3 linked regions of the Lonchura striata genome follow. The protein of the gene in region 3 interacts with the protein of the main gene of each other region in a pairwise test. Links are inferred from orthologs where the notes say so. Each region holds a gene or a part of one and is shown on either strand. Other genes may lie near its edges. The genes, in order: PRRC1, homeobox protein Hox-A3 and SEC23B.

Region 1 (10,368 bases), on a different chromosome or scaffold from region 3:
AAAACATGAAAGAATTTTCCATTGTGCAACTAATGTAATCTCTGATCAAAACCTATAAACATTTTTTTCGAGGCTCTTCCAATCTGCTGCTTGATTTCACCCAATACCATGATGAAAAGCTGCTGAGAAGTGCTCACTACTTAAAATAAATTCTGTGGCCATGCAGAATGAGTGGTAAAATTCCATAGAGCAGCCTTCCAAAAACTCTGTGCAGGGATTTTTCAGATTTTCAAAAACCTATTACAGTGGTGGTGCTGGAGGGGAGGGAGAAGGGGCAACACCCCAAAAAGCCACCTGACATCTGGAGTCAGGAATTAGTAGAAATATAAGTATCACCGTAGCTGTTCTTTGCTGTTAACTTTGCAATAAAAAAGACTCAGAACAGAAACAGTAATCCCAAATGTGAAAAGAATCATGTCAGTTGCTGAAATAAGATAAAAAATCTCATATGAAACAGATTTAAATGATGTCTTGACTAATATGGAGCCTGCACAACCAACCACTTTCTGTACACTGATTTGTCAACATGGTCCAGTTGTGGTTTGCAAGTACTGAATTATAAAAAAAGTAAATAATTTAAAGAAGAAAATTAAGGGTAAAGACCAGGCACAGGAATAGGCAAAAGGAAAGCAGAAAGTGCAATGGGTAACTTAATAGTTCATAGTGTTGAAATAACCCAGCACCACAGATTACTAAAATGACCCTACAGGATATTTATGAACATAACTGGCATACCCAAAACCAGCTGTGTGTGAGGAAGAAGAAAACTATGGAATAAAGGACCCAAGAAACCCATTAGTGTTCAGCCTCAACAAAAATTCCAGAAGGGGTTCCCAACTTCCCTCAGGGGAGATGCAGGGAAAAAGTTTCCCAGTTGGATCAGCCTACAATTCTTTAATGACTGTTGGGTGCAGAACTCGGATGTCTTTTCAGTGACTTGAGAAAAAACCCAAAAGCCATAATAACTCTTCATAATCCAAGCCACAGACACACAATTTGCAACAGGGAGCACCTGGAAACTCAGCCTAATTTCTTAAGGAAGTGACTTTTGTGCCTTCTTGCAAACTAGAACATTTTGGTTTACTAAACTGAAGGGGCAAAGGAGAAACCCAGCGACAGGGAAAGGGAAGCACATGGAATTTAGGTGAAAACAGCATTAGCACTGCCATCTAGTGATTTGTGACCCGAAACTGCAAATTCGATAATGCCACGTCTTCCTAGAAGGAAATCCTGGTTTGTTTTTATGTGGAAATTAAAAAGTAGGAATATGGTGACGAGAAATACAGGACAAATGTATTCCCAGTGATCAGTCATCCTTAAAACAAACCCTTTAGGAAGCAGAAGCATGAATTTTGTTTGATCAATCATTTGGTTTCAAAAAAAACCTTTTCGGTACAATGAAGACACTATGGGGATGATGCTAAACCCTCACATTACAGAAAACCCACAAAATGTGTCTCTAGAACTATTTCTACTGATTCTCACCAGCTGAACTTCATCCATTAACCTAAAACCAAATCTCAGCCATTAACCTAATTCTTAAACTAGGGAATTAGGCTGTGTATACTGTATGGAAAGCCAGGCTAAAACAGGGCTTGTGCTAAAAGCAGGAAGTAAATAATTTGATTTAGAGACTATAATGGCAAATTATTTGTCTTTTCACTTTAGTTCAATAGAAAGTAATTACATTTGTACTAATATTTTGCAATAATCTTAACAACTTAACCACACTTCAAAAGCATTCTTCAGGTTATTACTATAAAATACAGACATTCACAGCTAATGATAAGATTACCTACAAATGGAGATTAGAAAATTTCTTGTGGATAAAAACACATTATCTAGAATCACCGATACTTCAGAGTTTATAATGAGGTGTATTTTCAGTCATCTTGAACTGATCCCTTCTCTTTCAGTGCTCCTGCTAATAAAAAAAGGCAAAAAATGCAAATAAACAAAAAACTTAACAAAAAAGAAAAAACTGCCCCCCAGAAATCCACAAAAAGAAACCACAATATATTTAAGTACTCTCAGAGAGAAAACTGCTCTCTAAATGGAGCCTAAAATGAAACACAACCACACTAAGCTGCAACACTGAATTGAAATGCCACTAAACGTTTTGACTTTAATCACAGTGGACATAACTTTTAATTAAGCTTTCACATGCTGCAGACACTGCTCATGGGTAAGCACACGCTAACAACTGTCCAGAATAAGATGCAAATGACAACACTCTTCAAAAGAATGAAACCAAACCATAACTGGACCCTGAGTACGTTTAAAACTTTCATCTGAAAAGTGCCTCATGGGTTTTATTTTCAATTTTAGAAAGTGAGAGCATTAAGGAGAGCTCCTTTCTCTGTGCAAAGAAAGCGCACAGAGAGGTCATCAGTTTAATCACCTCGGGTGAAAGACTTGCTCCAAAGTCCAAAGTCTTAAAGAGAGAGGTAATCGGGAGAGGGGATAAACAACACAAAAAAACCCCAACAAACCAGCCCCCCAGAACTCTCCTATACCCGATTTCCAAGACTTCAGACTCTTTACTGATGTCATGCCTCGAACAATGCATCTGTGTGTGTGAGGTGATCCCTTGTCTTGAAACTGAGGTGGCAGATAACTTTTCATTATTAAGGCCTTAGAGGAGGAAACTGAAGCTAAGTCAACTTTCCTCCCAATTCATAACGAAGCTGATTGCAGCAGGTAAACAGTACTGTGCACTTATTTTGGGGCTGCGTTTAACTCGTGCTTCCTCCAAGTTAACATGAGCACTTCAAAGATGTGACGTGAGCTAGAAAATCCACAAATGAAGTAACTGTGCAATGTGCTGGCTTACATGTTTTGTAGTACAGCTTAATGCAGAATCTGATGAATTGAACTATCAGCAGATAGTGAAAAACACTCAAACTAAAAGAAAATCGATTTAGGTCAGATATTAGGAAGAAATCCTTGACTGTGAGGGTGGTGAGGCCCTGGCACAAGGTGCGTAGAGCAGCTGGGGCTGCCCCTGGATCTCTGGAAGTGTCCAAGGTAGGACAGGGCTTAGAGTAACCTGTGATAGTGGAAAATGTCCCTGCCCATGGCAGGGGGTGGAACAAAATGATCTTTAAGGCCCCTTCCAACCCAAATAATTCCGTGATTCTATATTCATCACATAAATTATGTTAACCACAACACTTGCACAACCTTTTCACCTTACAAGAAACCCAAAAAGCAACACCAAAGGAGCCTTTTCACCAGTGTGCATGAGAACTAACACACACCGGGAGAGGTGGAAACACCAGGCATGACAGCAAGTCTGTTGGCCTTCCCATGTCACTAGTGCTGACAGACACCATAAACCCACCAAACTCCTTTTTCCAGAGGTTGCCTGACCTCATCAGAATCATCAGAATGGCAATTATTTAATTTCGAACATTTTCAGACGCACACCCCCCGCTTTCCCTTTGCTAGCAAATACTTCAGTGTCACAAAACCCTCTTGAAACAGCCCACACCAGTGATGGTTGCAGTGGGAGAACTCCTGATCTGGAAATGTGGAAGTGCTAACACCATCCAGCAATGCCATGAAATTAGAGCACCAAAGGAACAGCCAGACCCAGCCCATTCCAACAGCCCGCACCCATCCTTCTTCCAGGATATGGATATCACAGGATGCAACAGCTCCAGCACTTTCACAGGTAATTCCCCCAAAAGAATGTGAGTTTTTAAAAATGTGATCATAAAAGCCAGTAAATAACACAAATTGCAAATTACGCCTCCAGAGACACCACAATAAAGCAGTAAGGCTCCTGAAGCACCATTCCATCCGGCATTAACGAAGGTGGGGATGAAACCGCAGGCATTTTACCAGGACCAGCACTGCCACCCCTCACTGCAGGGCTGGAATTGGTGCCCCGAGGCTCCGAACAAGCCGGCACCCGGACTCCCCAGGCAGGAGAAACCCGGCCGGCAGCGCTGACCCAGAGAACCACCGGGACAAACCGCACCGGGAACTGCGCTGCCGCCCGACCCTCACCTCACAGCGAGCCTCGGAGCCGGCGCTGGCTGCAGGAGCCGCTGCAGCCCCGCAAGGACGCGCCGGGTCACAGCCCCGGCAGAGCCCCGCTCCTCCGCTCCGGGCCCCGGCACCGCCCGGCCCGGCCCAGCCCTCCGGCCGCTCCTCCCCGCCGCCCGGAACCACGGGTCACAACGCGGCGAGTCCTCCCGCCGCCAAAAGCGCCCTCACCGAGACCGGCCCGCCCGTCCCGTGCTGTCTCTTCCCGACCTTTCCCGTCCCGGGGATACGCGAAAGGAGGCCGCGGCAAGCGCCTCCTCGGACTTCAACTCCCAGCATCCACCGCGGCGCCGCCGCCGTTCCTTGCCACGTCTCTCACGGCCGCGTCCAACGGCCCCTTACGGGGGGGTCGCACCCCCGTGCTGCGGCCTCAGCTTGGTTCGCTCCGCACGACTATAAAAGCGGCGGGGCGGGCGGGGCCTCGGCAGCGCCACGTTGGCGGCGTGAGGGTGCGGGTGTGGCGTGTGCGGGTCTGAATTACGTAGGGCCTTTAATGCTCGCACTTGAGACAGAGCCTGTGTAGATCTGTATTCGTAGAGATTTGAAGTACGTCTCGGCTGAAGTGATTTCTGTTCACGGAGTGAATTAGTTTGGGAAAGGACTCTGACGTTACGGAGTGACCAGCTCCCTCAGCCTCTCCTGGGGCTCCATTCCCTTCCCCAGCCCCGTTCCCTCCTCTGGCCACGCTCCAGCCCCTCCACTCCCTGTGTGGGGGGCCCAGAGGTGACAGAACGGCCTCAGCAGGGCCAGATACCCTGATCCAGGGAGTCACTGATCCAGGGAGTCACGGTGATCCAGCCTCCCTGATCACAGGGACGGGCACTGCCCTGATCCAGGGAATCACTGATCCAGGGAATCACGGTGATCCAGCCTCCCTGATCACAGGGACGGGCACTGCCCTGATCCAGGGAATCCCGGTGATCCAGCCTCCCTGATCACAGGGACGGGCACTGCCCTGATCCAGGGAATCACTGATCCAGGGAATCACAGTGATCCAGTGTCCCTGACCACAGGGACGGGCACTGCTGTGATCCAGGGAATCACTGATCCAGGGAATCCCGGTGATCCAGCCTCCCTGATCACAGGGACGGGCACTGCCCTGATCCAGGGAATCACTGATCCAGGGAGTCACGGTGATCCAGCGTCCCTGACCACAGGGACGGGCACTGCCCTTGATCCAGGGAATCACGGATCCAGGGAATCCCAGTGATCCAGCCTCCCTGACCACAGGGACGGGCACTGCCCTGATCCAGGTAATCCCAGTGATCCAGCCTCCCTGACCACAGGGACGGGCACTGCCCTGATCCAGGGAATCACTGATCCAGGGAGTCACGGTGATCCAGCCTCCCTGACCACAGGGACGGGCACTGCTCTGATCCAGGGAATCATGGTGATCCAGCCTCCCTGATCACAGGGACGAGCACTGCTCTGATCCAGGGAATCCCGGTGATCCAGCCTCCCTGATCACAGGGACGAGCACTGCTCTGATCCAGGGAATCACGGTGATCCAGCCTCCCTGACCACAGGGACGGGCACTGCCCTGCTCCTGCTGCCGCCCCACGGCTTGCACAGCCCAGGGGCCATCGCCCTTCTCGGGTGCCTGGGCACCAGCAGCACCATGGACATCAGTAGCCCCTCTGATGTCCTTCCCTGCCTACAAGAGAGGAAAAAATTACATGGCCGTGCAGGCTTGACACTCCCTTAGCCACCCATTCCATTTGTAATTCAGGAATTCGGGGTGTATCTCCGTTAAGGCCTGAAAAATATGACCTGATAGATAACACTCGCACTGAATCTATGTATGATATTAAGCAAAACTCAGCAAAGCCAAGTACCTTTAAATTGGACAAATTTCAGGATTTCTTTTTTTTCAGAAGGTCATTTTCTCCCTTTGTGGTGTCTGCATTTCAGAGTGAAATTTAAGGTTAGAGAAACGAGAATTAAGAGGGAATATAAGTGAGGAACAAAAGCTGAAGCTTTTCTGTGACCTCAGACTGTCCCAAAACGTTGTTGCTCCAGTGACAAAAAATGTCCTCAGCCTTGATAATCAAGCGCTTTCTAACTTGTTTAGAAAACAGCAGAGTATGTGAGAATCTATAAAAATGGGGCTCAGTACATCTGGCTGGGAGGGAGCAGGGACCTGAGGTACCTGGAAATGTCGCCTGAGCCACTCTAGGCACCTGACCCACTGCTCCCCCAACCCTGGGAACTATGCTCTGTGCCCCTCACACAGGCAGGGCAAACGGGCAGGGTTGCAGTCACACTCTTGGTGAGGTTCAACACAGCTTGTCTCCGCTCCAACAGAATATTTGGTGAGGAGCAGCTTTTCTCTGTTCAGACAGAATACTCAGATCCTTTGCAGTCTTGCGTTGCTGCGATTCTTCATAGTCCCTTCATTTCAACTCGAGCGCTTTTCTGCAGGGCTAGCCAGCAGGGTTGCAGTCACACTCCTGGTGAGGTTTAACGCAGCTTGTCTCCGCTCCAACGGAATGCTTGTTGAGGAGCAGCTTTTCTTGGTGCGGGTGGGTCCGCACCTTGAGTACTTGTGTCCAGTTCTGTGCCCCTCAGTTTAGGAAGGATGTTGAGATGTTTGAGCGCACCCAGAGGAGGGCAACAAGGCTGGTGAGAGGCTTGGAAAACAAGCCCCATGAGCGATGTTTGAAGGAGCTGGGGTTGTTTAGCCTGGAGAAGGAGGAGGCTTCGAGGTGACCGTATGGCTCTCCACAACTTCCTGACGGGAGGTTGTAGACAGGTGGTTGTCGCGCTGCCTTCCTGATCGTCTGCTAGCCCAGTGTCCTTGGCCAGCTCTGGGCAGCTGAGGCCGCTCTCGTTGGCCACTCCAGGCACGAGCTATGGCCTGTGGATATGAACCCACCAGACGGGGATGCCGCGCTCCCTCCCCAGATCTGCCCTGGCTAGCTGTCCGATGGGGCGAGAGGGGCAAATGGAGCACCCTCCGCTGGACCCTGCGGGGCTTTGGAGAGTGCTCCGTGGGTTGTCCAAGCGCTGCTAGACCCCGCGGCGGTGAGAGAAAGAGAGGCTCCTGGTAGGGTTATATCCGAGATTTATTGTAGCCCAACCGGGGCTAACAACATCCGAATGATCCTGCTGCCAAGAGCGCTGACAGGGTGCTTGCAGCCATTTTTAACTGGAGAGGGAGGGGAACCGGTTGACCAATGGGGATGAGATAAGGAGTGGCTCTTGTGTGGGGTGATGTGCATGGGGTCCAATGAGGGGCAGACGTAGGAGGGGCCCCCAGACCCCTGTCTAATCACCCGGCACCCAGGATAGAAGCTTCTAGGTGTCCGGGAGGGGATGCCGAGTGACTGACAGGGCGCCTGGGAGGAGACAAGGGAGTGGCTAGGCGCTTTAGGGGAGGATTGACATATGGGGTAGGGCGGGAAAACTAGGAATAAACCAAGTAGAACATGGGGGTAAATAAGAAAGAACCATTACATAATAAAACTTATAATAACACAACTCCACGCGGGGAGAGCCACGGAGCGATGCCAACAGAAGCAAAGCAGCCGTCCTTCTGGGGGTACCTGAATTCCGAGTTTATTGGAAGTCATACAGACAGCTGTAACCCAAAGGATATAAGCCCCAAAAGGCACCTGAGCACTGTGTGCTTTTAACAGGTGGAGGTAACATGGGAAGGGGACAACATGGGAGTGGTAACAGGAGTGACAAACGGGATATATCCAATGAGGGAGGAGGAAGGGAGAGGTCCCCAGGGACCAGCCTATCACCCAAGGCCTTAGCTGGAAATTCTAGATGGAAGGGTGAGGCCTCAGAGTGACGGACAAGCCCCAGGGTGGGGTCAGGGGAATGATTCATCAAAAGGCTTTGCCACCCCAACAGGTGGAAGTCGGTCTTTTCCACCGGGCAGCAACTGACAGAACAAGCGGACACAGTCTCAAGCTACATCAGGGAAGGTACAAGTTGGATATTAGAAAAAAAAATTACACTGAAAAAATACTAAAGTATGGAATTGTCTTCCAAGAGATGTGATAGAATCACCATCTCTGGATGTGTTTAAAAAAAGACTGGACGTGGCACTTCGTTGCAGTGCATGCCATGCGGGGCTTGCTTGGCGGCTGCAGCAGGGGAGTGACTGTCACCCTGTGAGCTCTGCAATTCCCAGCTATTGGCTCGTCAGGTACAGGGACAGATAACGATGACACAGGGCTTGGGAGTGTTCCAGAGTGGGTTTATTATGGGGAGAAAATGGAGCCCCATGACCAGCTTGGGAGGGCAAACAGTCTTAAACAAAAACTCAGGAGGAAGGGTGTTTGAACAATAACCAATGGGTGCTGGGTACACTGCAGTTACAAGCGTGAACGGTGTCCGGCAGGACACTTGGGGTGGCTCAGCCAATCCCATTCCCAAGGGAGGATAGGGCAGGGTTTTGGGAGGTCTGAATGACAGAGGATGCGGGGGGCTTCACAGAAGCCATGGGGAAACTTACAGGGGAGGGACCCAACACAGCTAAATTTCAATGGTTTGTATGCATGTTAGGGGCCTCCTTTATGATGTCAGAATCTTCCCTGTGCTTATAAATATGTCATCATTTGATGGTAAATATTTGTCTCAGTTTTGTTTTTCCTGTCCCCTCTGCCCCCATGGGATGTCCCAACACCTTGGCAGGGGCCCAGAATTGGGAAGGGAGGACAAAAAAACCACACCTGTAGTAAGAGAAATGTGCTCTCCAGGGATGCCCCGATCCTTCAGGGAGGGCACCCGCTGGTCTCCATGACTTTGGCACACACTCCTGGAAACCAGTCCCACCCGCCAGAGATTTACCCTGCTATGGCCCGCTTACCCTCTGGGCTCTGGTTCTTACTAGAGTGCACCGACTTGATGGAAGGCTGATGGACTGGGGACTTCTTCCTTTGGCTTGGCTTCTCCAGAGACCTGGGTGTTCCTGGTGCTTCAAGACCCGTCCCCGGCGCCTTGGGTGCGGCCACTGTCAGTCTCAGTTTGCCCTGCAGGGATTCTGACGTTTCTCCTTCTGCTCAAGGCCTCGACTCACCCCAGTGTGAGCCATCTACCAAGCTGCCTCTTCCTCATCCTGGGGTAAGTCCACCCCCTTGAGGCACCCAGCAGCCTTGAGTGGAGAGCACACCAGCGAAGATGAGAGCGAGTCCTGGAGCCTTAATATCACCACTCTGCTCCTACTAAGAGTGTGGCAGAGCTTGTGTATGTTCCTCGTTGCCTATGTTCTCTTCCCTTCTTTGTCTTCAGTGAGGTGGGCGCTCTCACAAATTGGCCTATTTATTTTAAAAGACGAAGAAGGGAACCATCACCTGCTACCAGTTGTTGCAGCGTGCGGGGTGTGCTGGGAGGCTGTCAGGGGCACGACCATCCCCCTGCAAGCTCTGCGATCCCAGTCACCTGATGGCTTGGTGCGCGTACAGATGGAGGCAACACAGGGCTTGGGGTGTTCCACAGTGGGTTTATGAGGTGGATAAAATGGAGCCCCAAGACCAGCTTGGGAGGGTAAACAGAAGGTTTTATACAAAAACTCAGGAGGAGGGGTATAGGTGAAATAAATGGGCCAGGAGACCTGCTCCTTTTTAAGGCCTTGATTGAGTGACCAGCTCTGGGTTGGGGGCCCAAGGGGTCGCGCACACCGCCGCTGCTCCCACGTGGTGATGCTGAGGAGGAGGAGATCGGCTCCACTACGCAGCAGAACCGGGGCTTCTGTCCTCGCGGGCATGCCCAAGAAGGAGATTTGTGGCTCATTGCCCGGGGTCCTGATTCTGTAGACGCACTGTTCAAGTTAGGGCGGCATGTTGGCGGCTATTCCACTGGTCTGGCAATGTCCGGGGACCTCTTGCCGACTGTCCGATCCGGTCCGTGGCCCCGAATTCGGCATGGCTAGTTGTCCTTGGGGCTCTTTTTGGGATTTCGCGTTCAGTTCGCGATTTGCATATTACCAGAGGTGGATCGGCCACCATTTTGGGGAGCAGCGGAGGTGAAAACCCGACGGTCACAAAGTGAAGGGCAAGGGGGAAACATAACAAGGGTGCACTTAAAGGGGATTTTAACGGGGTTTGAGCAATTAACAGTATTTTAATTAACATTTTTTTAATATGAAATTGAATTTATTCATAACATAGGAATAATAACCAATGAGGATAGAACTGGGGAGGGGTCTAAGGTGGGACCAACGTATCATAAACCTGTCGGGAAATAGGGGAGTGGAATAACACAAAGTAACAAATAGGGTGTCGAGTGTAACTCAGTGGACAGGGAACACTCTGGAAGAAAGGGAGGGGACTAGAAGGAGTGACAGGGAATGTTCTAGGGAGG
Region 2 (10,869 bases), on a different chromosome or scaffold from region 3:
ATTCTCTAACTCTTTCGCTCTTCAGATGACTTTGCATCCTTCCTGTCCCCAATGCCTTTATAAGGATGGCGATCACTCAGGTCCCGTACACTTCTTTGTCTGCCCAGACACGCGCATTCACCACCCACGGAAGATGAATAGGGCCAATCCAGAAAAAAAAAATTCCAGCTAGGTTAAATATTTATCGCAACAACAACAAAATTTCATTCCAGCAGTCTTGTTCTTCATGCAGGTACCAGGCAAATCGCATTCTTACAGCTGCCACCGGCGCAAAAGCAGCGACCGCTGCCCGGCTCTTACCTCCTCCAGCTGCGCAGGGTTGGGCTGAGGCGCTCCCAGCTTCTTCCACCGCCCCGGCCGAGCGGCTTCGTTTCGGGGCTCCCTGTAAACAAGCAACAAACAGTGCCTTACCGGGGAGTGCAGGGGGAGGTATTTTGCTCCTTCATTGGCAATACATGGTTTGCCGGGTGCGCTGGGAGAGCCCGGAGAGGGGCGGGCGGGGATGGAGCGGGCTCGGGCTCCCGCGAGGAGCGTGGATTCCCACCCGGGTGAAGAGCACGGGGAGCTGAGAAATAAAAGCGTGCGGTTGTTTTGGTTGGGTTTTTTTCCTTATTTTTTTTCCCTGTAGACAGCTATGCCTTCTGTCTCCAAGTGTTTGGAAATATTGTCATTCCTAACTCTTGTTACATGAATGTCTGCTTTATTTTCCTCTGGGAAACCTTTGTTTAGGATCATTTAATCAAGAACAGACATTAAACACAAGTCGTGGTGTTCATCTCTGCTGAATAAAACTCGGAAAGGATTCCAGTTTAAATGCGGGGCGTATTGTGGTTGGGCTTTTATTCAAACGGTTAGCCGGGGCCCAATCCTGCCACCACAAGCTCACTAAGAGACTAACAATTGACCTCAGCGAAGCGGGATCGGGCCCAAATGCGTAATTTTTTTTTTTTTTAATCTACCAGCACAACACATACACACACACAGACATACACACCCCCCCTCCCAAAAAAAAAAAAAAAAAAAAAAAAAAAAAGGCAACAAAAAAAAAACCGACATCCATGAAAGCCATTGACGGAGGAGAAAGTACTGGGCTACTTATTTTCCCCTAAAATAAACAGTATTTCTGGTCCAAAAATACAACAGTCAGGTTATTTGCATGCCACTTATTGAATCACTTTTACATATGAATTTGTCAGATATAATAATATACCCCTGTATTCAGTCTTGTTAATAAAACCCATCTAATGCATCTTACAATCGTCAGTAAATGTAAATGCTAATAATTAAATAACACCATTCTAGCTGAAGGGTGTTATCCGAGCCCTGGAAATATTAAGTCTGTCTTGGGACAACTTTTGGAGCAGATACTTTGCTTTGCTAATTTAGTAGTTCCATAATTACGCTAATAATTTTAAATTTGGTGTTGAACTCCAGTCTACATAAAAGCATGCAATAATAGCCTACTAAACTGTTTATTGCTGTCTCATAAATTTGCAAGCGCTGACTGTTAAAATCTACTGGCAAACACAAAAGAAAATAGAAAGTTCGAACTGCAATCAGAGAGCCCGGGCGCTGCTTCCTGGGGTTATCCTTAGCTCTACCTTTCCTTACACTCGGCTTCAGCACAGGGGGAACCCCCCGGCATTTTAGGCTCAAAGTCGTACCTTAGCCGTTTTGATCCCTAATCAATAATCATGTTACAAACAGCAATAATCATCGATCAAGCGTGACTGGGTTGTCCCACTCGTGTTAAATATGGAGCGTGTATCTGAAAATGGTGCCAGCGACTTTATGTTATTTATTTTGCAGCTATTAGGTCACGCTACCATATTTTACACTGCCACGGTCCTTTAAGAGTACGTTGTTTCTTGAAAGAGTTGCTAAGTAGCAATAAAGCACTTTACAAAAACTATGAATTTTTTTTTTAATTTGTTGTTATCCCAAGCTCTAATATTCATTGCGGCACTCTAAGTTCGTACATAAATCGTTCAGACTAATGAGTCATAGAGAAATTCGCCCATGACTTTTCCTTTGCAATGCTCACTGCCTTTCCATTGCTTTTTTGGCCATGTATTAAGAGACGGTGATTTATTAACGCCAAGAAAATTGAACAAAGCAGGTCCTCCTGCACTGTGGCACCCAGCTTTCCACAGTGTGAATTAGAACATTATCAAGTGTGTTTGCCTCCGTAACACTTAATCACCAAAAGCCATAATGTGACCACAAGGCAGCTAAAACAAAGATTTAACATTTCTAAATATTAAACTTGTTAAGCAAATGCTCAGCAGACAAAGCAAGCACAAACAATTAAAGTCATCAAGCTAGAAATACACACTACCTACTTACCAACACAGACCCTATTGCTTGCTTAAGAAGTTTAGAATCTTTCAAGATAAATCAGGTGGGCTTTTTTAAAAGGGAAAAAAAAAAAAAAAAAAAAAAAGGAAAGAAGGAAAGAAAAACAAACTCCAGTAACAAGGAGTTGAGTTTCACTTCTGAGAGAATCACTCCTAGTGAGGACTGACGGCCACAGATCCATTCCTGACTATCTGCATTAATTATTTAATGAGTCACGTGACCATAAAGATTAAAATTTCAATATCTCGCCCAGAACAGACGCAACACCTTTATCTGCGAGAGCAGGGATGCTCGTAGTTGGGTCCCCTAATCTCTACTGCCTTTGACACCTCCTCAGTTTCCAGGGAGAGCTCTGGGGCATTATTAACAAGGGTTTGTCCCGTTCTGCACAGCGAACCGGGGCAGCTTTACACCCTCCGGCCCCCCAACTCCAAATGAATCAGTTGAACCCAAATCGTCATTGTCTGCGGCGGGGAGGGGGCTCTGCGCTGCTGGCAGGGGGACGGGAGAGCATCAGGGCGGCAGTGCACGGGCTGTCCGCCACGGGTGAGTGCTGCCTGTCCGCGGGCCCGGGCGGAGCCAGTGGGGCTGCCCGGGGCCGGAGGGAGGCGGCCGCGGAGCTCCCGCTGCCCACGCGGGGAGCTCCGACCCCACCGGGACCCGCGTGGGCCGGGCTTGGGCGCCCGCGCAGCGCCGCGCAGCCGGGGACAGCCCTGGAGCGACACCCCGGGGTCCCACCCCGCCGCGGCCCGGCCAAGCCTCGAGGCTGCGGACACGGCCAGAGCCTCCGCCTCCTCGGGGACGTGACGTGCGGGTCCCGCGGCCGCGCCGCTCGCCCGGCTCGGGCGGAGGCGCGGGAACGGCGGGCGAGCCCGGGCTGCCCGAGTGCGGCCCCGACGCGAGGCGGGGGGGCCGGGAGAGCCGGAGTTTCACTGCGGGCCTGTCAGGATCTCCGCCTGTGTGAGGGTTCCCCCCACCCTTTCCTCGTTTACAAACACGGGACAAGAAGACTTGGGACTGTAAGCACCCTGGGAAAAAAAAAATAAAAAAAAAAAAAAAAGGAAAAAATAAAATAAAAAAAATCCTAGCATTGCGTAATGCCCCGATGCAGGATGGCCCTGGTCATTAAATACCACAAGGCGCTTGTCACAGTTCAGCTCCTCCTGTAATGAAACACCAGGTATAGCAAGAGGTTGCAGGAGAAACGAGGATGGGGATCTCGGCAGAGGAGTATTTTTCTTGGTGGGTGGAGGGGAGATGGGTGCCGGGGTTAACAGAGTGGCGTTCCCTGCTGACAGCAAATTGACTCCGAGGTGATTTGGTCTTTCTTTGAAATATTGACACACTTCCACTTCCAGCGTTTTGAGCTGTGCTCGCCTTTGTGACCAAAGCAGATAAATCCGTGTGTGAGAGACACCGGGAGAGCGTGGGGGGGAGGGGGGGGGGGGGGGGGAGACATTTAGGTCCAAGTGCCGGATTAAAAAGAATACTGTCTTTAAAGGTCAAGGGTTTGAAGGGTCAGTCTGCCCCTCTAAAAAAAACAATTAATGGGATAGAAAATTTGTCCTCTCGGTGAACTCCTGGTTGCCCTAGCAAAGGGAGCACAATGCGAGAATTTAAACAGGACGATGTAATTTTGGAGGTTATTCTAAAGATGGGAGGTATTGGACAGGCAGCAGAGGGCTCAGAGCCCGGGAGCAGCATTCTACTCCCAACAGAAGCAGAAGGGAAAGAGAAGGAAGGAGAATTTACCTTAAACGATGATAATCGGCCATGGGGTATTTTGCAGTCCGCAGTTCAATCTCCAGCAAGAGAATGTACATTTTTTTAGGAGACAGCCAAGATGCTGTGTCTTTACACATGACCACTTTTTTTTCCCCCAGGAAAATCCTTTGCGTCTTCACAGACTTTTCCAAGAGAATGCCTTTCAGAACCGCTGTTGAATTACAAAGAAGTATTTATTGTAGGAGGTGATTAATGATTCTCGCTAAAATTGCTATTTGCAGCGTGATTTCATTTCTTTTTACAATGGGAGTAAACCAGGTTTATACGCATAGGCTGCACACTAAAGAAATCCTGCACTGCCAGTTAATGCATTTCAGCTGGAATTTTGCTCAGTTGTGCTAATTTTGGCTCTAAATACATTGAGGGATTCTCAGGCAATAAACCAAATGAAGAGTTACACATTTGCGGATAGTAGTTACCTGACATACAGCTATATATTTTTTTCCCTTTATAAGGAGATAACTGGTGACTCAGGATTTAGTAAACAGTAATATGCGAGCAGAAGTGTGCTTTTCAGGCCTACTCTTTAGTCAGGTATGGGGACAGCCGTGTTTGCTGTGGGTGTTTGCAGCTGCCACCGCCCTGATGCTGAATGTGTTCTGCCAGTGGCACGTTACATTTTTCTTTGGAATGGTACATATTCCATGGCTAGGCAGGGATGCTGGCACAACCTTTGGAGCCTGGTGCTACCTCAGCCAGGGATGATGATGCCCCCTGGTCCTGGCAGCCTCACTTAGGTGAAGACAAGCACTGATTCCAATAATCCATCTTGTATGCATTCGGGTGAGTAAATAAATAACTATTGGCCTTCACATCTTCCCTGGAAGATTTAGTAGCACTTGAGTTCCTTTCCAAGATTTTTCCTACCCAGCTCAGTGCTACACCGTGTTGTGAAAGCCCCAAGCAGGGCTCTCCATTAGCAGTTCTGTTTTGCCTGAACTCCTTAGCTGCCTGGAAGCAGGAAGATGCACAGCCGGAGCTGGAACCAGCTGAATCCCATTTTGCCACAGTAGTTGTGACAATCTCGGTCAAAAAAGCCTCATGAGTTGTATCCAAATTCATGCGTCTACCAAGGCTTTCTCAGCACATTTTGAAATAATCTTAAAACAAAACAAAACAAAAGGAAGTATACACAGAAAAGGCAGCTTGAAAAGAAATTTTAGGTTACCGTTCAAGTATTCCCCTTAAACAGTGCTAGCCAGCTAAGAAATCATAATCAGGCGAAAATGAATGAATAAACCAGGACTGGCTAAAGATTTAAAGTGTTATCACGGCATGGGAGCTTATTGGCTCCCAGAAGAAGCACAGTTTCTCTTGTCAGGCAGCTGAAAACAGTCACACGGACAGCGGTGGAGTCAGACTCATTCTGTCTAAGTCAGCTAAAGAGAGCACCACTCACCTATACAATGAAGCAAGACCTTTCTTCGCCCTGCAATGCAATTTTTCCCTGCCAGGCAAGTAGGAGTCAAGGGCTTTTTCACCACGTTTAAAATAACCATTACCTTATTGACAAGATTAATCCAAGTCAAACCAATGCATTAAACTGTTCGTTTCCATTTCTGATGCCAACACCAGCCAAGCACAAGGTGGATGAAACAGCACGTAGTGGACTTGTGTTTCAAGCGTTTAATTCTTTTGTACAGAATAATCTTTATTACTAGCATTTGGCACTGTTATACATTACACCAAAAATCCACAAATTGTACATGGACTCAAACTACTTAGACGGTGCCAAATATGAAGACAGCAACAGCCTTTATAGCAATATTTCTTTAAATAAATGCAATAGGGAATGTGGAGAAAAACTAATAGATCACAGCTACTGAGGGGGCTACACTTAAAACCAGTTAAGTTACCTTTGATACATAAAACATTTTCCATTAGACAGCGTAAGGGGACTTTTTCATAAGTCTTTAACCTCTTGTAGACGTGTTCATTCTCCCATGTTGGTCTGTGTGTGTATACGTGCCTGTGCACCACCACACACACAAGCACACACAGAGAAATCCATGAACACACCACAAAACAGCGCTATTCAAGTCAGTGCCTTACACAAGTGTCTCACGAGCTCTTTACTTTGTTTTTAATGTTTTTTATTTTTAACGTGTTCCCTAAAAAAAAAAAAAAAAAAAAAAAAGAGTCCATCTTAGGTACAGAGAATTCGTCCATGACAGCATCCATCCCTCTCTTATACCGAGGGCAAGAGAGCGTTTCCATAAATAGAAAAAAATGATGGGCATGGAACCATTATCTATATACAATGTAGACAATCGTCCGGGTTTTGGTTTAAACATGTGCCCGTGCTTGGACACGTCTCGTCTTCCTTTTCTGCTCCTGTTTTGTTTTACACAGTTTGGTCCAAAAGGCCAGCCTCCACCTCGAGGCAGCTTGAAAACCCCAATAGATAGGTAAATATATATATATTTTAAAAACCACAACAACAACAACGACCAAAAAAAAAGCCAACCAACCAAAAAAAAAAAAAAAAAAAAAAAAAGACCAAAAAGACTCAAACCAAAAACCGTATTTATAGAGCAGCTGCGTTGGGTGTAGCCCCATCGAGTGGATGGGGGTGGCCCTGTGTCTGTGCTTTGGACTGCTGGCTCAGTGTGGACTGGTTTGAGGAACGCATCTTTGTGTTAGGCAGTTTATGGTCTTTCTTCCACTTCATGCGCCTGTTCTGGAACCAAATTTTGACCTGGCGCTCGGAGAGGCAGAGGGTGTGCGCGATCTCGATGCGTCTCCTTCTGGTCAGGTAGCGGTTGAAGTGAAACTCCTTCTCCAGCTCCAGGACCTGCTGTCTGGTGTAGGCAGTGCGAGACCTCTTGGGCTCCCCTCCGTTGTAATTGGGATTGACTGAAACATGCACGCACAGGCACACACATACACACGCGGAAAGAAGGAGAGGGGAAGGGATGGAACATAATCATTATATAATAACTTGACACCGGGTTCACATAAGATACATAAACGGCAAGAAAAATTGTTTCCCAGCCTATCGACAGTGGGGACAATCGAGGAGCAATAAAAAATGGTGATGGGCATTTGGGTTAGAAGAAAAGCTTCAAAGACACATGGCCCAGAGCCACTGCAGGGCAATTAAATTTATGGGGGCTATAATTACTGCCCTAACAGTTTGGCGTCTCGTAAATCTTTTGATAAAGGACCCCGGATACAAAAGGTTTCTCACTTTTTTCTTTTTTCTTTTTTTTTTTTCCCTTTTTTTTTTTTTTTTTTTTTTCCTTTACTATTAGGAAACGCAGACGGAGAAGGAGGGGAAAAAAAAAAGCCACACACGCACCGACCCATCCCGGTCCCGGGAGCACCCTCCCCCCTTCTCTCCTCTGCAGGCACATCCCCACCTCCCCCTGGCAAGGGCAACTCACCCGTGCTCACATGGATCTTCTTCATCCAGGGGTAGACCACCGGCTCCTTCCCCTTCAACCCGGGCAGGCTCTTGTCGGGCAGCAGCGGACAGGCGGGCCCGGTGCCGGCCCCGGCGGCGGGGGCTGCTTCGCAGCGGCGCTGCAGGGCATGGCCTGGGAGCAGGGGCTGGGGCGGGCCGGGGTGGCCCTTGGCGGGCGGCGGCGGCGAGGCGCCCGGGGGCGGCTGCTCAGGGCCCGGGGCGGCGCTGCCGGCGCTGCTGTAGCTGTAGGGCGCCTGGGGGTAGGAGGGTGCCTGCGCGGGGTAGAGCGCCTCGGGAGGCGGCCCCGGCGGCCCCGGCGGCGCCGCGGGAGCCTGGTAGCCCGGTTCCCGGCGCGGCCGCGGGAAGTACTCGGGCAGCGCCGGGCCCGGGTGCGCGGCGTGCAGGTGCGGCGGCGGCGGCGGCGGCGGCGGCGGCGGGGCGTGCGGGTGCGAGTGGTGCGGGTGGTAGCTGGCGGAGCTGCCGGCGCTGCCGCTGTGCTGCGTGTATTCCTCGCAGGGAGGGAATTTGGGCTCGATGTAGTTGGAGTTTATCAAAAACGAACTCATGGTCATTAATTTGTGAAGTGCAAAAATACTAATTTTTCTCGCGTTGTCGTTTTTCTGGGCTCGGCGAGGCCACTCCCCTTCCCCCCCCTTCCCTCCCTTCCCTCCCTCTCCCCCTCCCGCTGCTGTCAAGTGCTGCCGCTGCCAAAGTTTGGGCCTCCAGCCCTTCCCCCCCCCCTCTCCCCGCTGCACTCCCCTCCCTTCCTCTCTTCCCACCCCTGGAGCGCCTACAACACACACAAACACACACCCGCGCACACACACACCCGCACCCCCCGCCGCCCCGCCACCACCTGACCGCCAGCGCCAATTACCGCGCGGGGCCGCGGACCCCGGATCAGGAAATGGAAGAGGGACGAGCGGCCGCAGGGCAGCTCCGCGCCCGCGGACCCTTCGCGGGGACGGCGCCTCCCCCACGGGCGGCGGCTGGCTGGCGAGGGAGCGCCCCGCGTCCGCTCCTCACCAGCATCCCCGGCTCCTCCTGCCCGCCGACCCGGGCAGCGTCCAGCAGTCGCGGTGTCAAGCGAGATAAAACTAATCCGGCTTTGACAGTCTCCCACCCACCCCGCCCGCCCCAGCACTTTTTGTGTCTTCGTTCTCCCGTGGGAGAGTGTAGGAAGCAGGGCGAGGAAGCGGAGCGCAGCCCAGCTGCGTGATCCAGAAGGAGGCAGGCATTGCACAAGGCGTTGCACAATCCTTTAAACAAACCCATCTCCGAATGCCGGGGCTGCGCGCAGGCAGAGGGCGGCAGCGGCTGTCGGGCACAGGCCACCGGCCGCCCTCCAGGGTCTGTCCCCAGCGCCCCGCCGCTGCGGACCGCGGGCGGCCGCGAGCTGCAGGGACAGCCCTTTGCCCCTTTGAAGCTGGGCTAATTGGAGGAATAGACGCAAAAGTTAGAACGAAGGTCGCGGGCAGGCCGAGGAGAGTCCTCGAGGGGCTTGTGGGGTGTGAGGCATAGAGCGAGCCTGAAAATAACGGGGAACAGAGGGGAAAGGGAGAGGGGAAGACGGACACGACGGTACCAAACGCTTCCTACCGGGCTCACTGTGAGCATCCCTCCCCGCGGAGCAGAGCTTTCTAAAGTACGAATTTAAGTCCGTCGGTTTGGTGTGCCTCGTCTGGGGTTTATTTTTTAATTTTCACTTTCATAAGAAATCGCTAGTGCCTTCGCAGCAGTAGCTCGCAAACCCTGGTGTAGGAGGGAGAGGGCACTCGGGCAGTTCTGCGTTGCTAAAACTGAGACTGTTAACGGTATTTGCAGCTCAGGGGGAAACAAGACAACCGCCCTGACCTTAGGTAATTGAAATTTGATGGTTAAACTAATTACGCTCTTATTCTAAGGGGAAAAAAATACTTATTGAATGTCAGCTAGTCTGCCACATTTGGAGTAGGAGCGAACTTTTTCAGATTATTTTTTTCATCTGTACAGGAAGGAATATAAACAGATAGAAATATTTACCACACCCTTAGAGAATATAATTGCTGAGTGGCTAAATATCATCTGCTGTATGGGAAAATACTTCTAATATATCAAGCGTAAATATGATACAGTTTAGATCTTGCCTTCCTAAAGATATTACACTAACAGTTACCCTGGTTTAAATTCAGATTATTGTCTTTTGCAGTTTAATAGATAATGGATACGTGCAATAAAATTCTATTTGAATATATATTCTATCTAACAAGACACACAACGTATCGATTTATATTTTATCCACAGACACATAGGCACGCACATTGCATGCGGTTTGTAATATGTTAGAACATTTCCAGCACTTGGGTATACTGGGGTACTTATCTAAACAATCACTCATTTCCTCCTACTATCGAATGTCTAATTTGTAAAGAGAGTTAAAACACATTTACTTACTCATTTCTAACAGCACATCTATGGAACTCTAACTGGCGTAATAGATAAGTTTCTCTATTTACTCTGCGTGGAAAGGAAATGCGGTTACACACACGCGGTTGCACACAGAGACAGCCGCAACTGCTCAACAGCACACATTTGATAGAAAAGGGGACATTGTTTTATTTATATTCCAAACAACAAAACAACAGCAACCCATTTCCTAAAAGAAAAAAAAAAACAAAAAAAAAAAAACCACAAAAAACAAAAACCTCCTATCTGCATGACTATTAAAAAGAAAAGATCGCCGAAGTCCACCACGACAGCATTTTCCCGGTATAAAGAGATACATGCACACATATGAGACGCATACATACAAATACCTGCCGGCTAGCACCAGACGAATTACACTGGGGTATCGTAAATATTATCCTCGGCATAAGTCCTGAGGCTCTATGGCCGGAGCACTACAGCGGGCTGCCGTGTTCCCACGCCACAGTAAAACGCAACGAGAAGTGTTGTCTCGGTTGGTAAGATCAGCGCTATATTGGGAGAGTTGACCGGCCTCTGCTTCATATAATTTACTGTGATTAGATCTCAAAGTTTCACCGTGTCCTTTTCTACAGTAGGGCTCTGGCGCTTGGTTACAGAGAGAAGGAGTCAATTTTGTATAGAGTGTAAATCTGCAAGGTGACCTGAGCTGCCCAGCTCAAATCTGTTTTTTTCGTGTGGTTCTCTTAGTCTGTGAAGATGTGCTGAGGCAGGACCTCCAAAAGGCCTGTTCCGTGTCTTTCTGGTTTTGTTATCATAAACAAGAACCCAGCCAAGACCACCAAGTGTTATCTTGCACACAGCCATTTCGACATTTTACTGCAAGATTTATGGCTGTAATAAACAATCTCAAACCC
Region 3 (10,323 bases):
AACTCAAAGTAAATGGCTAGAGTTGTACTTATACAAAAGCAAAAAGACAGGACAGATAGTGAGAGGGCAAAAGGCTCACAGTTGAGGGCACTAAGCCCTTCTTTCTCCCAGAGAGCCCTGAGCTTGAGAGCCCAACAGAGCTGAGAGGTACAAGCCCCTGGCCTGAGGGATGGCAGAGCAGCCAGGGATGGCAGAGCACACCTGTATCTGCTTGGCTGTCAGGTCCTTGGTGCCCCGGAACACGTAGCTCTTGGAAATCCCTTCACAGCTCAGCTCGTGAACCTGGACCATCCGGCCAAAAGTGATGAGCCCCACCAGGGCATCAGGAGGCAGCAGGCTCAGGGACATCTGCAGGGACTCCTTCAGGGCCTGCAAATCCTCCTCTTCCAAGCACGTGTCCACAACATACAGGAAGATCAACGGCGTCTGCGGACCTCGCTGATGTGGGAAGAAATTACATTTTCTAAAGCCTCCAGCCAAGGAATAAAATTAGCCCTTCTTAAGCACCTTGCAGACATGGTATTTATTTGCATTATCCTAAGAAAATTTTACACATATATCATTTGTCACAAACAAGACAATTCTGGGAGCTTCAACCTCGTCTGTGGCTCATTTACCTGCACTATGTATTCAATTGTTGAAAACTGAGGCATAAGCTCTGCTGGTTGATTGACTTCAGAAATGCCAGCATAAGCTGGGGGAAACTGAAAAAGAGAACAAAAAATTAGGACAAGGAAGCTGCAGAACAAAAATATAGGGCTCTCTAATGCAGCACAGAGCCTGCCCTGCTGATGATGTAGTTATTCAACTTTTTATTTACTGACACTGCACCAACCTGATTAATTCATTATAAAAAACCCACAGTGCTTTTCCTAAGAACAGCCAACAAGGGGCCAGGATGGACAGCTGCTCAATCCACTGTAAATAAAAGGTAAGGCTACAGCAGCAATAATGTACTAGTTGAAATTCTTTTAGCCGTAGTTTCTGATGGCAAAAGTCTACTCAAACCTAATGAATTCCATATTCTGCAGGAATAGTAAATATCAGATGCAAAAAACACACTGGGACACATAGAACAAAATAGCATTTTAATCTCTTTTCTATGCTCTGCATGCCAGCAAAATCACTGACAAGACGTCAGGTAAACCAGACTGTACTCTGGCCTGGGTTCAGCAAGAGAAGAAGGCCAAGGGAAAGGATCTAGAGAAGCAGAATTTACATTTAATGTCCAGGGAAGGCCATCAATAAAGTGTTCACTGAAAAGGTCAAAGTTCTTTTTCCAACTTACCTGGTTTCTCTGAAAACAGAAGTTACAAGCCCAAAGCTTGGCCCGATAGTCAACTTGGCTGCAAGGGAAAGATGAGGCATTGGTGTGACTTCAGGAACAATTTTACAGGAATGCTTCACAATTAATTCATTAATCCATGCTGGTTCACAGCACTGAGGAAGAAACAGACACTCCAGCTTGAACAGCAAGTGTTTTAGGGATTCAGACTCTGGTTCTATTACCAGGAAGTTCATTAGCTAATCCAGCCCTGCCGTTTGCAGGCTTGTCAGCATGAGGGACCACTGAGCTCTCTGAAGTTCAGCCCTTGGCAGACACAGACTTGGGTCTACTAATTATTTCACTACACTTAGGCTAATCTCATTGTCTTATTGTTTGTGCAGCTGTAGCACACAAGTGTTCCAGTCTCAGAGCAGCAGGAGCCATCCACCCAGATCTTGTGCAAACACAGAACAAACAGGCTGTTCCCTGTCCCACAGAGTTTACTCTCCTCAGCCCAGTACAACATCCTGCTAGTGCAGGATGCCTCGCCACGTTCTCATTCCATGGCTTTGATCTCATTTCAATTCCTCTTATTGGTATTGCCTGCTTTTTCTCAGCCCAACACCATGCTCCCAATATGCATGATCATCTCATAATTTGGGACCGAGATATTCCTCTAAAATTATTTCATTATGCTCATACTGGAAACTGACCTACAAGCAGCAGGGTGCGTAGGAAGCAGGAAAACAAGTAAGCATCAAGTCCAGAGCACAGTATCAGTACAATGGGCATCTTTGTCTACCATGAGTTTGCTCTTTGTCTTCTATGAGGAAAATTCTCTGGGATGCTGAGAGGACCCTCTGCCTTAACAGCCTCTCCAAAGATCCTCCTGTGTCCTCTGCTCTTGCCAACTCTAGTAACAGGCGTGTTGATGTATGGATTTTAACAAGCTCACTGCATCTAAATGAAAGAGGCTGCCAGGCACTGGGCAGAGAAAAAGGGGAATAAGAAAGTAGTGAAGTTCAAATGAAAATTAGATAATGTCCAGCCCCTTCCAACATCCCCAGCTAAGCAATTCCTACCAGAGTGGGTTGAGCACAGCTTTGCAGGTTGGCCTGCTGCAAAGCACAGGTTCATACTGCACAGGAGGCAGGTCCAGACGCTCCTTCAGCGGGGTCAGGAGACAGGCCAGGGGCACAACCATCCTTGTGGCCTCCAGCCTGCTGGAGGGCCACATGTTCCAGCTGAAGCGCACGCCGTCACGCTCCTCGTTCTGCTGGATGAACTCCAGGTACGTCGCCATGGCCCCACTGAAGCTCCTGAAGGACAGAAGAAGGCACAGAAGGTTGGGGCAGCAGCCACTTGTGTGGACAACAGGCCTGCAAAGGAGCTCAGCAGATCAACTACAGGTGGGGGCACAAGACACTGCCAGGACAAAGCTAGCACAGTACAATGAATTAATCCCATTATCAAGGAAACCACGTGACTCCATTAATCTCTTCTGTCCAGTGCTCTCATCAACATTACAGCCAATTAAAACACCACCAAGTCCAACAAAGAAACAAGGAAAGCTGACACTCAAAGTCAGAGCATAAGAGGTTGTTTTTTTTCTTATGATACACATTTAACACGTCAAAATCCAATGAGGTTCATGCTGGCCTCAAGGCAATCCTGCCTGACTGGGTCAGTAAAGGAAAATAGGCCAGATTTGCAACCCATCCTGGAGCCTTCAGCTGAAACACTGCAGGGAGAAAAGGAGGCCAAGTCTGAGACCAAAACAATCACAAATGCCACCAAGCTGCCAGCCTGACCTGCTTACAAAGACAAGAGAGTACATGACAAAATACCAAAAACGATCTTTTGGACACCCACACTGCCTAGCATCATTGTTCCACTGCCAATAAGGAAAGAACTGAGAGTCCAGAAGGCTTCAAAAAAAAAAAAATCAAGGAGGAATATTCCCAACACATTCTCTGTGTTGTCTTACTAAACTCTTCAAAATAAGACACAAACAAGAGTTTCCAGGCCATCACTGCTTTTGATTTTTCTGAGAAAGGCAAGAACAAGCTTATCAAAAAACTTACTTGTCAAATCCAGACCACAAACACCACACAGCACTAGCAGCAACTCACTGAGCCAAAAGCAGCAGCTCCACAACCTACTTCAGACAAGGAAATTCAGAGGCTCACCTACAGCTGCAAATGCTCCAGGATTACCTTACTCCTGATCCTCACTGCAGATGGGATATTCAGGAGGGCTACTCACATGAGAAATCAGAAGCAACACCTCCCCTCAGAGGAGGAGAAGTTTTGGTATAACGTTTTCCTACAGAACTCCAAACTCACTGACGTTTTCCTCTTCCTTGCTATTAAGGATGTAAATCAAGCTTAAGGAGAACTGCCCCATGTTTCCACCCCCCTGAGTGGATGGACAAAAGAAGGGTTCACAACACATCCCCACTACAAATAGATCTGTCAAGGTGAAAATCAGAGCTGAGTCTTCCTGTAAAAGATCCCGCACATCAGAACAGCAATATAAACATTTGATTTATTCCATGTTTCCCCAGCTGTAGCCCAGCATCACTTCCCTGATTGCCATGCTGGGTCTGGCACGGGCTGTGGCCCTACTTTGGGGTCAGGACAGCGGGAGGACAGGTGTAATCGCTCAGCACGGCTGCAGGGGACACCGCAGGTACCACCTCCGCCCCTCCGAGCACCGATCCCCGGCACGGCCACAGGGCAAAGCACTGCTGGCCCTCCACAGGGGCACGCCTGACCCCAGCCCAGGGGGACACTGCGGATCCCCAGCCCGGCCAAAGCGAGCACCTGCTGCTCTGTGGGACACGGCTGACCCCATGAAAGCACCGCGGACCATGCCCAACTCCCCTCAGGGGACACCGCTGACCGCTCCCTCCAGACCCTGCCGCAGGGACACCACTGGCCCCCTCACAGGGGCCGTCACCCACCGCTCCCCTCAGGGGACACAGACCCCTCATTCCCGTTCCCGTTCCCATTCCCTTCCCTCGGAGCCCCGCCGCTCCCACCTGCCCGCGCCGCTCGCGCCGCTCCCTCCCAGCACGCCCCGCGCGCCCGGCAAGGCCAGCTCAGCGGTGCGCGCTGCCCGCGGCCAAGATGGCGGCGGCGGCGGCACGCCCGCCCCACCCCCGCTGAGGCTCCGCCGCCATCTTGGCTAAGGGCACGCTGCGCCGCCCTTCAGGAGGAGGGGAGAGGCAGGCTCCTTCCAAACATAGCCGGGCGGCGGCGGCAGGGAGCTCGGCTCGGCTGAGGGCGGCAGGTTCGCCTTGGAATGGCGACAGGCGGGGTGTCCCTGCTAAATGTGGGATGCGGTGCCGCCTTCCTACCCTGGCACGGCATGAGGGAAGCAGCCCCGCCCTCAAGGGGCTCGGCTGCTTGGGAGCGCGCTCGGGTGTGTTCGTCAGGGAGCATTCCCAGGGTTATGAGTAGCGCTCCACTAAAAACACCGAGACACTTCTTAAAGAAATAAACTGCGAGCCCCACAGAGTCTCAGTTCCCAGCTCCTCTCTCGGGCCGAGGGTTCTGTCCCCGGACACGCTGGGTCAGCGGCACACGCTGGGCAAAGGCATGAGGCCATCTATTCCAGCAGCAAGGCGGGGACAATCCATCGGGTTTTCCTCCCGTTCTGTTCGCTGACAGAGCTTTACCCCCACATCTGCTCGAGGCCACAGTGGTTCACCCTTCTGCCAGGAAATCTGTGCCTCAGCCTACTGGGGAGAGCCCTACAGCGCCCAGACCCTCCGAGAGATCCAGGGATGGACACAATTTTCAGGGAGCCTGTGGATACGAGGTACAAGTTTGGCACACCTGAATTGCCCCAGGAATTTGTCCCTGCCTTGAAATTAGACAAATATGTGTCCTTCTTTCATTGCTTCCATCTTGTATTGCTTCCCAGACTCTTCCAAAGCCAAGAGCTTGTCCTAGTGAGCCCAAGACAAGAATCCTTCCCTGCAGCTTTACGTGATGCTGTGCAAGTGGTATTTGTCCTATCTGAATGCACGGATGCAAATCCATTCCTGAATCCTGCAGACTTTCGAGGTGCAAAGGTATTGCAGGGAAATACCTCAATTCTCTGCTTCTAAGAGTTTTGGTGTTTGCTTTACATTCATGCAGCGGTCAGCTTACAAATATCTCCCAGGCTTCTGTGTGGGCACCGCTCCACCGTTGCTTAGAGGAAATTATGCCCTGTGGTCAAGTCTACTCACCCATGTCCAGCTCTGGGGTTTTTTTGGGGTTTTTTTTGTTTGTTTTTGTTGTTGTTGTTGTTGTTGTTGTTTTTGGGGTTTTTTTGGGGGGGGTTGTTTGTTTTGGTTTTTTGTTTTGTTCTTTTTTCCCTGTTTTATTTCTTTTAAATGCAACAAAAATCTGGAATATGCAGAGTACAGTTCCATGTCCAAAACAAAGCAAAATGAAATGCTGTCTGAGGTGAACATTCATTTTTGCCTTCCCAGCTTCCTGACATCCCAAATAGAGAGGGAATAAAAAAGTAGAAGCATGCTACTGATATGTATATGCTAAAGTGTGTAAAATTCTAATTACTAATATTACTAACATTCTCAGACCCAGGACTGGCTCTCCAAGTAGGAGGCAAAGCAAATCTGCTCTTCTGAAGTTGCCTGTTTGTTTACATCTTCCTCCCACTGCCACATCTCAACAGCAAAGAGCCTTACCAGGACCTAGGGCTTCAAGGCCATAGTGCACCCCTCTGCAAACATTAGATTAACTAAAATATTGAGCAATGATTGTGAGTTTGTGTCCTGCTTTCAACTTTCAGAGTTAATTTTCCTCCCTTGGAGCTGGTTTAGTGTTGCATTTTTTGATTTAGGATTATGAAGATATTGATACACCCTGATAATTTAGTTCTTGCTGAGCAATTCTTATGCTAAGTCAACGACTTCTTAGGTTCTTCCTGCCAGCCAGGAAAGCTGGGGGTGCGCAATTAATTTGGAAGGAGACAAAGACAGGACAAGTGATCCCAAGTGGTTCAAGGGATGTTCCTTGTTCCTTATCATATAGTGAATGATAAAACTGGGAAGAGTTGGCTGCTGGTTTCCAGCCCTCTGCTCTGGCACTCCTTGGGCAACGGTCAGCAGAGGAGGAGCAACTGTATTGTTCATCACTTAATTTATATAATCTCTTACCATTATTTCCCCTTCATTTTCTGCCCTGTTAAACTGTCCTCATCTGAATCTACAAGCTTTACTTTTTTTACAATTGTCTCTCCTATCCCACTGGGGAGGAAGTAAGGGAACACCTGTGTGGTGTTTAATGTCTGCTGGGTTAAACCAAATCAGTTTGGAAGAGGAGCACAATCTTAAAGCCCTGTGTCTGTGGAACAAATACCCAAGTAAAAGCTTTCCCCAAAGCATTTCCTGAAAGAAACACAAGCTTGCTTCAAAAGTGAGAGAAAGGAAAACACCACAGGCTGCCTACACAAGCCCCAGCTTAGTTTGTGTTAAACAGCTGTCAGAGAGGAGAACTTTGAGCTCTGGTTCCTGTCCTCCCCATTCTCCAGAAGATCTCCTGAAGAGTGAGCAAAGTCCCATGACTGACTTTCTCATGGCAGAAGTGAACATTTTCAGCAAGAACTTGGACATCACCTGTGGAGCCTGTCATGCTACCTTCCAGTCTCCTCCAGGAGCTAATCTAGGCTCAGCATGGCTGAGGAGGGCCTAGCCTTGCATTTCTCACAGGTGAAATGACACAAAGTCCCAGCCGAGCAGAGCAAGAGGAGGGAAAGGTGGTCTGTGTGTGGCAGAGGACAGCTCTGTTTGAGGTGTCTGTACCCTGTTTCAAAGCATCAAGTGTTTAGCAGCAATAGGAGACCCAGTTGTCTCCACTCACTACAGTTTTTTCCCAAAATCAAATGCATGTGGAGACAAAAAAGAAACCAGTAAGGCTTAAGACCGAGCTTTTTTCCTGTTGGAGCCCTGGGGGAGCCATCCCAGGAAGAGACAGGATATGGTGCTCTAACAGCACCAGCGGAACAACAATTACCCGGATCGGTTACCATCGAAGTACAAATACAAAACCCCCAGCCAACCGACCAAACCCAGGAAAAACTAAACTGCCACTCAGCCACGGGGAAAATTTTCACTATCGAAGCTTCAAGTTTGCTATTCATCCTCATGTTTTAAACTTTGGAGTGTAAAGGCTATACATGCCAGACAATACCTGCCAGCTTTACACTGTCAGTTCACAATCCAGCCAGCTACCATAGTGAATGTTTGCCTTGGAATTAAAACACAATTTTGCACTCGACTCCATGTGGCATCTGGGTGTGCCCACCCTCCAACTTGCCTTTGGAGAGTTGGCTACTACTAGTGAGGCAACCACTCACAAGAGGCTCGTGGGTTGACAGCAGGATCAGGGCTCATGAAAACAAGAATGAGCTCTCTCCAGCTCAGGAGAATCTCATGGTCCTGCAGCAGCTGAACTCTAACCTCTTGCATGAGGCCTGTGAAAATAAATGAGCAGATCATGCTTCCTATTTGTCATCCATGTTTTAAGGGATAATTCAGCTTTCCACATGTAAATGTTTTCATGTTGAGTACTGGAGCTACTATAGTAGTATCCTCAAAACATTACATTTCATACCAGTTTGGAACAGGGACAGCTTCACCAAGGAGAAGATTGACAAAACTCAGGACACCATTAATGCTACCTTGTAGCATTTATTCCCTTTTCAGATAAGAATGTCAGCCTAATACATCAGCCAGGTTCATGAAGAACCAGAGTGACAGAAAGATCATTTGTCTGATTCATATAGAAATAGATCAGACAGATTGCTATCTGTAAGAAACTAAATTGAAATTACTTTCCCCTTATAGGCACTTTTCTCCAAATCTGAGAAGTCTTGTTACAGCTTCAACACTAAGAAGTTTGAGATACCACAAAGGTCATCTAAGCCAGATAAACACAATGCCAAAATTTAAAGAGCTTAATAAACCATCTATCTACTTCCTAAAGCTGTTCACTGAGGAGAAGCTTTCTCTCCTTTTTCTTATTGCCAATGAATGTGATTATAGAGCATAAAGTGACATACCTGCATGATAAAGCCCTGTTGTTTCCCTGGAAGTTATCTTCTAGCTGTAGTGGAGCACAAACATTGTGTTATCTCTGCAGAAGCAGGCTCAGGACCCCATTGTGTCAGGTCCTCTTTAAAGACAGGAAGACAAAGACAACCCCAGCCCCACATCTCAATGAAATTACCTTGGCTGGAATAAAGGATGTCTGATCCAAGGCGCCTTCCAGGGAAGAGAGCAGCATTTTCCCCTTGGCTTCTCTGTGCTGAGTAGTTAAAGGGGGCAGAGGGAGAATGAAGCTCCAACCATTTCACCCCCACATCTCTTTCCTAAGAGCCCTTCTGCCTCTGTAGAGATATGCATCCCTTTCACCTGGAGACAACACTGCAGCAAAAGGAGAGCCTGCTGAAGGTGCTCACCTCGCTGGGACAATCAGAGTCCTTCCATGGACTTGCCAGCTTATCAGGTGCTCATTGTTTGCTCCAGTACACGCTCAGCTGCTCCCACACAAGCAGCCTTTGCCTCTGCATCCATACCCTCCCTGCATGGACAGGAGCCATGGGAGCTTTTTTTATTCTTCATAAGGCACCCTCATTAGCCTCTGTCCGCCATGCTGTAAGGGAAGTGGAAATCAAGCAAGATTTGAACACTTTCGTATGTGATCCAGACTGCTCTTAGTGCAAACTCCTGGATAGCATTGAAAATGCTGATGTAAAGTATTACCCTTATGAGGTAAACTGTTCCAAAATCTACATTAACCCTCTGTCAGGTTACCCAGGCTGCTGCTAACTCAGCCACAGAGGTACTTTCCCACCACCCTCCCAACACATTGTCCAAAGGGCTTGTTTTCAGCCAGGCACACTTGAAAATAGCCAAATGCAACAAGCCCTGTGTTGTGCTTGACCTCCAGATTGTTCCCCATTGCTGGCAGAGCATTGTAAAGATACTGAGTATTGTGGAGAGATCCACCCTGGCCAGAGCCAGCTGAAGCCACAGGCAGCAAGTGGTACAGGGGCCAGCCTGTCTGTGCACAGCCCCTGTGCACCCCACCCTGCCTCCTAGTGTGCCATTCCAGCCCTCTGTTTCTCTGGATGCTGGAATCTATAGAAATTTTCTCTGTATCATCAGGCCAGAGGAACCCTTTCTCTTGTGGAAAACATATCTTCCCAGAACACCTCTACTCAAAATTTCAGCGGAGCCATCCATGTATGTGACACAGCTGCAAAACACACCACCAGAAATTTGATGATGAAGGAATAAATACAGCAGATGCATCACCAGGCAGAAACACAGGAAATGAAACAGAGATGTACATAAGAAAAATCAGGAATTTAATGATAAATAAGCAGGTAAGAAAGATAATAAACAACCAATAAGTGTTTGACATATTCAGTGTCTGTCTGACATATTCACAATCTTTCCCACATCAGATTCATAGTCTTCAAATAGATGGAAGCTATCATGGGAGAAAAGTGTCAGCTTTAGAACTTAAGCATCCATCAGCAGCATTAATCTGAAAGCAAAATTTGGGATCTCATTCTTGGTACCACTTGTTGCAAGTTTTTCTGATCAGCTGTGAGGGACTGATAAATGTTAAGACTAAAATGTCTCAACCTCGTTTGAGCTTTATTTTGAACTGTCGCTTAGAAATCTGTTTTGTTAACCACCTTAGTTGTCATCTCCAACTTTGGTTGAAGAATGGATCTACATTTCCACTTCAGCCTTGATCTTCAGCACTGACTCCACTTCCAGTCCACTCCCAGGATAGTTCACACAACTGATACATTGCTGTTTTGTCATTCCATTTCCTGAAGTTGCTTACAAATTTAAAAGTCCGCTTTTAAAAAAAAGCAAGCTGCTTTGTCACTTTGGCTGTGAAGGATGAATCCAGTTTACGGTTTTCTTTCACTTTAAAACTCCAACCACTCTGTCATATAAATACAGTTTGATGGAGAAATCTCACCACCTTCATGACAATCATCAAAAACCTGCAAAA

The links.
Region 1: the proteins of SEC23B (region 3) and PRRC1 interact in binary tests that used the Homo sapiens proteins (3 or more experiments, as listed by UniProt). The two-hybrid records come from large-scale screens. The link is inferred for Lonchura striata from reciprocal best matches to the Homo sapiens genes SEC23B and PRRC1.
Region 2: the proteins of SEC23B (region 3) and homeobox protein Hox-A3 interact in binary tests that used the Homo sapiens proteins (3 or more experiments, as listed by UniProt). The two-hybrid records come from large-scale screens. The link is inferred for Lonchura striata from reciprocal best matches to the Homo sapiens genes SEC23B and HOXA3.

The regions. Positions count from the first base shown.
Region 1 is NC_134642.1:83,731,468-83,741,835, reverse strand, and holds the start of PRRC1 (protein PRRC1), read right to left. Parts: upstream 4,345-10,368; 5' UTR 4,225-4,344; intron 4,143-4,224; exon of another isoform or gene 4,015-4,142; intron 1-4,014. UniProt on the Homo sapiens protein: May act as a regulator of the protein kinase A (PKA) activity during embryonic development.
Region 2 is NC_134603.1:123,453,789-123,464,657, reverse strand, and holds the start of homeobox protein Hox-A3, read right to left. Parts: upstream 4,206-10,869; 5' UTR 4,111-4,205; intron 383-4,110; 5' UTR 301-382; intron 1-300. Other genes in the region: HOXA4 (homeobox protein Hox-A4), read right to left, coding at 6,671-6,999, 7,530-8,121. UniProt on the Homo sapiens protein: Sequence-specific transcription factor which is part of a developmental regulatory system that provides cells with specific positional identities on the anterior-posterior axis.
Region 3 is NC_134605.1:22,409,674-22,419,996, forward strand, and holds the start of SEC23B (protein transport protein Sec23B), read right to left. Parts: upstream 4,382-10,323; 5' UTR 4,311-4,381; intron 2,587-4,310; 5' UTR 2,571-2,586; coding exon 2,350-2,570; intron 2,337-2,349; exon of another isoform or gene 1,981-2,336; intron 1,347-1,980; coding exon 1,289-1,346; intron 705-1,288; coding exon 618-704; intron 439-617; coding exon 202-438; intron 1-201. Other genes in the region: POLR3F (DNA-directed RNA polymerase III subunit RPC6), read right to left, coding at 10,238-10,315. UniProt on the Homo sapiens protein: Component of the coat protein complex II (COPII) which promotes the formation of transport vesicles from the endoplasmic reticulum (ER).